Coturnix japonica: one gene and its partner. The protein of the gene in region 2 interacts with the protein of the main gene of each other region in a pairwise test. Links are inferred from orthologs where the notes say so. Each region holds a gene or a part of one and is shown on either strand. Other genes may lie near its edges.

Region 1 (4,093 bases), about 48 Mb from region 2:
AAAGCTGAAATAAAACCTCTACATTTAAATCTCCCCGCTGACAGGGCAAAGATGGACAAAGACTTGAAGAAGCCTTCAGCAACTTGCAGCACCAGATCTTCACTGACAGTTTCACACTCAGTCCTCTGCACAGCAGAGGCACATACATACAAACACATTTGACATGTGTATTCTCATAAGAACAAGAAGCAAAAGCAAGACCTCGGAGTGACAGCAAAGGCAGATAGTAACACTATCATGCAGAATAGAGAGCAGCACTACCCACAGTATAGCATTTTAATAGTCCTGCTACCAACCACTGCAGATTTTTTCCCTCAAGTGCATGTTATCCCTTGGTGAATGAAGAAGCAAAAGCAGAGGTCCTGAAGTCCAGCAGGGACTCAAAACTACTATTCTTACTACATAGATTTATATTTATGCCTCAGGAATGCCTTTTTCCACCAGAAAAATTCAGTGGCTCTGTTCAAATACACTTCCATTTTCACATTGTGTATTCATCTTAGTATATCAGCTGCTTTCGAACTCTCTTTCACAGCATGGACTCCACCTCAATAGATTCTCATGGACAACTACTTCTTCTTGCATAGCTTTACAAAATCATTTTTCCTCCTACTGTGACCGTTCAAATACTAACCTGCTTACATGAAAAAGAAACCAACACTCCAAAAGAATGCCATTTCTTTCCAGTCAGATGAAATTTCTAGCGGTACTAGAATGACAGGACAACTTTTGAAAAGAAATCATGCAACAGCTATACAAACTGCAACACCAATTAACTTTCATAATAGAATTAACAAGAGTTTTTCTGCTCACTCTATTAAGAATGTTAAGCTGTTAACAGATTTTCCAAAGAGATTGAACAATACAATGAAATTATCAATTTCCCATTGAGAAACAAGACCTTACTTTTAGTTGAAATGTTGCATTTCAATCTTCTCAGTGGTCTGTCATACACCCACAAGAACAACAGCTTTCCCATACTAGCTGTAGATGGCATCCCTGGTGCACAGGGATATGATTTAGCAGAGGGTTGTGAGGGTACTATGGTTAGGCTGCGGTTGGACTTGATGATCTTCAAGGTCTTTTCCAACCTGGGTAATTCTATGATTCTATGTATTTTCTTGCATCAGTTATTGAACACATTGTCACCCTCTCCCCAGGTTCTAGATAGTTTATTATCTCCAGAAGAGATAAGCAATGAAACAAAGTCCAGATTTTTTATTTTACTATCTTTTAAGCAGTGTAAAAGCAAAACTGTTTATCTGTGCAACTTTGTTTTCAGTGAAATAGTCTAAATTTACAAAAATAAATACAAAATAACCAAAAGGGTAGTCGAAATATTTTTCTATATTCATATAAATAGTGTAGAAGATGCATAAGGAACAGCAGAAATAAGTTAGTCTGGTTTACTGCAGTTTGATTTTAGGTTCCAAACCTGCTTTAAAGATCTTGGCTCCTTTTCCTTTCATGTCACTCCCTATATCCATGAAAACCTTCTGTTTATCTCATTCACCCCCTTTCTTTCACATCTAAAGTCACACTGCAGCACTGCTACTTGTTTTCCATGTGCCCTACTAGTTATGCAAGTCACAATGCACACTGAGGATGATCTCAAGAAAGTACTGATGTGGAGCAGCCAGTTAACTCATTGAGGAACTAAGCTTACAAACCAGTCATTCTCTTCTCTGAAGCACTAACTTGAGTTTCCTCCTACATACGTATTATCATAAGATTGCCTCTAATACACCCAACCCTACCATTGAACAAGGTTAATTAACTGATTAGTGAGTTCAGAAGTTATCACAGGTGATGTGAAGAATATACAGCAAGCTAATGACACTCCATTTCCCTACTCCCCAATTATTATCAATAATAAATTAACGTGGTGCTTTAGAAGTAGAATGACGCACCATCAAGAAAAACAGAGCTTCAACCATATAGAAACAGACAGCTTGGACATTACTTCAGATTGGGAATCAAAGGTGATATTAAATGATAGAAAACAAGCAAAGATCATCAAGCTCCTTTTTATGATTCTCTCGCTTTGGCTATATGAAGTAAGAAATTAGTGGTTTGAAATTCACCTTGTTCACTCGACTTCAAGGCCTCTTTGATTTGCTGTTTAATTTTCATTGCTTCTTCAGCAGTCAAGTCCCCTTTTTTCAGGGTAACCACTTGAGGCTGCTCATCTTCATTATCGCTGCCATTCTCAGAATCACTATCCGCAAGTGGAAGCTGTTCTCTCTAGAGAAAAGAAACAAAAGCAAAAAAAAAAATGATATAAATCAATTGGAAAAATAGAAGGCAGTGGTTTTGGTTTCAGGTCAGCAGTGATGCAAGCCATTGCACAGCTCACAGTACCAGGTTCTTCCAATGTATTTCAATGTATTCCAATGTGCTTTGCCCAAATGACACAAATCTGTCACATCCTCCAGTGTGTGTTATTGCAGCCCCAGTCCAGCAAGGACAAACATATTTATTTATGTATTTTAAATACGGATTTGCTTGTACTTGGCAACTAAAACGGGCTCGTAGGACTCAGTACAACTGTTCAGAGAATACACCATCATTGCTACAGAGTCTTATGTAACGGAATAAAAAGCACACACAAGCCCTACGGCCCCTACTGTAGCAGCTTATCAGCTGATATGGCCATTTTAACCCTTTAAAGACCATTAAAGACCATTTGAACCCTTTACAAGGGACACGATGCCGAGCAATGAGAAGGAAGCCCCTCTCCTCATGGAGGCCGTTACCTTGGTTTCCACCGTGGGCCCCTCCCGATACCCGACCTGCCGCTTAAAGCGGCTGAGGAACGCGGGCTCGGCCGGCCGCACGTAGGAGACCTGGTTCCTTTTGCTCATGGCCGCCACTTCCGGTGGCGGAGGACGGCAACCGGAAAAGAACAGCCAGCACGCTTCCTACTTCCGCCTCTCTTCCTATACCTTCATCACGTGACGGGGGCAGCAATGCTTCCAGCCAATGAGAGGAGAGAATGCAGAACAGGGGAAGGGATCGTGTAACGAAATGGCCGCTCCCTTGTTGGCTTCATGATAGGGGAGGAGCCACGTTGCTTTCGGCTCTTAGCGCCAAATTCAAACAAGCCGCCATTTTGGAGGGACAGGGGGCGGGCGGGGGGTTGTAGGGCTCCCGTGGATCATGGCTCCCGGCACGAGAGGTGAGGGGGATAAGGGGGTGATCAGGGTGTGCAACTGAGAGGGGCTGGGGGTACCTCAGGGCTGTTGAGCTGAGCGGGCTGTGGTGTGTGGCCGTGGGATGGGATCATCTCGGGTGTCCCCGAGAGCATTTATATGGGCATTTATCAGTAATTCCTTTCATCTACCTCATTTTATTGTTCGTCTTTTGTAGATTTACGTGACTCCGCGGTGCCTGTGATGAACTCATCCAGGTAAAGTATTATTGGCTCCTACGAATAACTCTGTGTGTGGGGGGGGGATAGTGCAAATAGTGTCACTGTAGAAAGTAACGCTGAGTTTTTCACGCGGTGTTTTTCCCACACAGGACTGTCTATATCTCAACTTAGTGATTTAAAATCAAAATCCCTAAATCAAAGTGTGGTTCTGAGGCATCGGATTTCTCTTAGAGCTCTTGGATCTCCCACCAGCTCTACTATATCTCTGAGGGATTTTTAGGCTTCTGTGCAGGAGTTCTAAGCTAAAAGAAAGACAAAAAGCCCTCCAAATATACACAGTTTCTGCCCTGTATGACAAAATACTTGTCAAGTTAGTGAGATGTCTGAAATCCAGTGTCAAGTCTTCATTGGTGGGAAGGTCCACCTCTGCCCTACCGCCAACATCCGTGTCAGATGTCATGTGCCAGAATAACAAAATAGGAGGCATTACTTCAGAGTGTTCAACAAAGAACAAACTGTTGTGTCCACTGATTAATGTGAAATTGGCCGGGGAGATTTTAATTGTAGGAGCTGCTGTCCTTGATCAGATCATTGATTGTGAATTGATTATTCTCTCCCTATGAAAAGCAAAGAAAATGCAAGATTTCTTTCTGTAATATATGTGTAATATATGTAACCATGTGTTCCGTTTGTGTAATCTTTTTCTGAGTTCCTGTAATG
Region 2 (3,649 bases):
CAAAGGCTTCCAATCCATAGCCAAGAAGAAGACTGCACAGAAGGTTGGCATGATCTTCACAGTCACCCTAGACAGTAAATGTTTGTATGTTGGTTTGACTATCAGGCATAGCTAAAAACATTAGAAAAAGAAAGCAGTATTTCTCCAGTTGTTATCTAACAAGTCGCGTTTCCCTCCTATTTACCTAAAACATGCACCAGAAGTCAGGACTTCAAGGTTACAAACTTAAGAATCTTGAATTCCTCTTTTTAATATGCACCATATCAAAGTATATCAGGCTTTTACAACTTCCAATGGAGTTATTGTTCTTCACAGAGGCTCATATGGTGCTGCATTTTGGATTTTTTATGAGAACAGTGCTGACAGCACACCATTGCAGGTGCTGCAGAGCAGCGTTTACACAGACACAAGGATATTTCAGTTCTTCATGCTGCCTTGCCCATAAAGGGCTGTGGTACACAAGGAACTGAGAGGACAGAAACAGGATAACAGCTGATCCAGACCACCCAAAGGATGTCCCATGTCACATGTCATAGCGCTCAGCAACATAAGCTGGGTTGAAGGAGGAAAAGGGGATGTTTGTGATGATGGCTTTTATTTTTCCCCCCTTAAGGAACCATTACACATGATGTCCAATGGATTCATTGAAAAAAGGATTCAAGCAACAGCACTGAATAAAGTAAGTCAGCTCCAAAGCCCTCTTGTCTAATACTTAACATCTGCCACTATTTGATCTTATAAAAGCTATTTGCATTTATGAGTTCTCTGAAATGGATTCAGTCCACCTTTTGCAACCTGTTTTAAATGACTAACTTCATTCCAACTATAAAAGTTGTCATGCAAAGACTGTTTTTACATACCTTGTTTCTACATACGAATGCAAGAAGTGTGCACCACTGCTCTTGTTTGCCACCACCTCCTCCGATGACAGGAGCTCTTTCATAACCCAGGACACTGACAAATCGTGCTGCTTGTCTAGGTGTGTCTAGCAACCGGCCCGCTCGAAGTGGTCTGATATATGAACATACCGGACGGTTTACTCCATTTTCATCCTGAACGTGGTAAAGAAATAATAGTACTATTAAAACTTCCTAAAGCAATCCATTATCTACTGTTAGTTTCCAGTGAAGCTTCCATTCCGGCTGCACCAGGTGTGTTCAGCAGTGAGATGAATGCACCACACCCTTACGTGGAAGCTGACACTACTCCCGTACACAGCTGGTGAAGCCAGAAGAGAAGACCTCACTTCCCTGAAGACAAACAGCAGGTGTGGATTGCTTCCGGAAGTTATTTCATCATCTGTGCCAGGAAAATTGCTGCTCTACAAGTTAAATTCATATATTAGCATGATAAACACAAAGCATCACAGAATGGCCCAGGTTGGAAGGGACCTCAAGGATCAAGAATCTCCAAATCTCCTGCCACAGGCAGGGCCACCAACCTTGCCATTTAATAGTAGACCAGGTTGCCCAGGGCCCCATCCAACCTGGCCTTGGACACCTCCAGGGATGGGGCATCAGCAGCCTCTCTGGGCAGCCTGTTCCAGCACCTCACAACTCTCAAAGAACTTCCCCCTGACATCCAGCCTAAATCTTCCCTCCCTCAACTTGAAACCATTTCCCCTTGGCTGTCTGTTATCTACCCTTTCAAAGGCTTGACTCTCCTCCTGTTTGTAGGCTCCCTTTAAGTACTGAAAGGCTGCAATGAGGTCACCCTGCAGCCTTCTTTTCTCCAGGCTGAACAAGCCCAGCTCCCTCAGCCTGTCCTTATAGTCCCATACCATTCCTACTACTGAGGGGCAGTCACCAAGGAACAACTGATGTGATTGTGACGTAAGTTACAACACAGTAACTTACTAGCCAATGATTTGTTCACATCTGTAACTACCATGCAACATTCACCAGCCAGATTACTTTATTAACCACAGAGTGCTCAAATATTATATGGATCTGCTCCAGTATATCCAGTAACTCCACTACTTATTACTGTATAAAACCTGTCTGCAATAGTTTGTATAGATCACTTAAGCATTTGCCATTTGTACTTATTCAAGGAAAAGACTAAAATGGCTTTTCTACCTCCTACACCAGGGGTGCTTGGAGCAGCCTTTCTCTATGAAACATACTCTTCAGCTTCAGTATACATAGTTCAAGTCTTGAAAACTTCATTGTCAGCATACTGTATCACATGTAGCCCTGAATGGAATCTAACCACATCATAAATCTATACAAATTCTACATACACAAACTTCAAACATGCAGCTAAGACTAAAAAAAACACCTTGAAGAACAGATTGGTGTATTTGTAAAATATACAAACCTGTGCAAAAATCTTTACCAGCCTTGAGTTGTGTGTAGGCCTGATCTGCAGGTATTCTCTCCACCACTGTTTAGCATACACAAGAAATAAACGTTCTTTTTCTGCTGTCTTCTGACGTTCCAAAGTAAACTACAGGTAGGAAAATACACACAACCATTCACACATATAATAATTCCAAACAAGAACAAAAAGTAATCAATATACATACTAGCACATGATCCTTGCATATGAAAAATGAAGTTTAATATGACAGCATGCAACCAATGCTAAAGAATAGTATTTTAAAGTGAAAATCCAATGAATGTAAAACTCAATTTACATTTCTTGTTTGTAGGCTGATATATCAAGCTTGACTGAAGTAGTGTTCATCTTCAGTGACGCATATCTGTATAGAAGGACTACTCACCTTGCTAAGTGTGGAATAATATCTGTAACACCTTTGGGCCACCATTTACTGGCTTTTCAAGTAGAGTAACCGACCCTTTATCTACATAAATAACTGTACAGTGTGCATCCCCCCTGCTGATAAAAGAACAGGCCATCCCTCACCCCCTACATATTACTTACCTGAGTGCTTGTTATTTCTGGAGACAGAGTCTTAGTAAGTGGTGGATACATTTCAAGTCTGATGTTCAAAACACCGACAGAAACCTTTGATTCTGTACCTTTGAACCAAAATACATTCCTATCAGTCCTTTCAAATTCATTTGACACAGAACAAATAATAGTTTTAATCATACCATCATAAAAATAAAACCCCATAAACTTCTCTAAGTACATACAACACAAAGATCTTCACTGAAATATTCTACTCAAGAATGAAAGGAATGATAACCTGGCTAAAGAAGCTGGTAACTGGATCTGAGCCCTAAGGGCCTCTTTCCAGGTGATACCAGAACATACAAGATGAATGCTGTTCTGTAAGGGCTAGAATAGGCACCTACAAATAGACTGGAAGAGCCACAGTGTACAAGTGCCCATTGTTACTGAATGTACAACTCACTGCTCAGATCACTGTGGTTAGAGCAGGATCATAACTGCTACACAGGACAAGCTAGATTTTACACTTGAGAACACTGACACGGTATTTTTCCTGGAGACGCATTTGTTGATTTATGTTTGTTTTGATAGTTTACCCACATCCTGGAGATAACAGAGGCTCCCAGGTACAGGGACCACTATTGCACAGGATCTGGAACACACATTCTTAACACTTTGATAAGACAAAAATCTGACCATTAGTCCTTTATATAAACTCTTCTTAAGGATACCTTAAAGTAATTCATGAGTTGATACCTTAAAGTAATTCATGAGTTGATTAGCTGAACTG

The links. The genes of interacting proteins can lie anywhere in the genome.
Region 1: the proteins of CEP76 (region 2) and KIAA1143 interact in binary tests that used the Homo sapiens proteins (3 or more experiments, as listed by UniProt). The two-hybrid records come from large-scale screens. The link is inferred for Coturnix japonica from reciprocal best matches to the Homo sapiens genes CEP76 and KIAA1143.

Annotation. Positions count from the first base shown.
Region 1 is NC_029517.1:39,705,691-39,709,783, reverse strand, and holds the start of KIAA1143 (uncharacterized protein KIAA1143 homolog), read right to left. Parts: upstream 2,928-4,093; 5' UTR 2,865-2,927; coding exon 2,757-2,864; intron 2,245-2,756; coding exon 2,085-2,244; intron 1-2,084. Other genes in the region: kinesin-like protein KIF15, read left to right, coding at 3,160-3,178, 3,370-3,409.
Region 2 is NC_029517.1:87,454,358-87,458,006, reverse strand, and holds part of CEP76 (centrosomal protein of 76 kDa), read right to left. Parts: intron 2,985-3,649; coding exon 2,887-2,984; intron 2,449-2,886; coding exon 2,320-2,448; intron 1,053-2,319; coding exon 861-1,052; intron 68-860; coding exon 1-67. UniProt on the Homo sapiens protein: Centrosomal protein involved in regulation of centriole duplication. Required to limit centriole duplication to once per cell cycle by preventing centriole reduplication.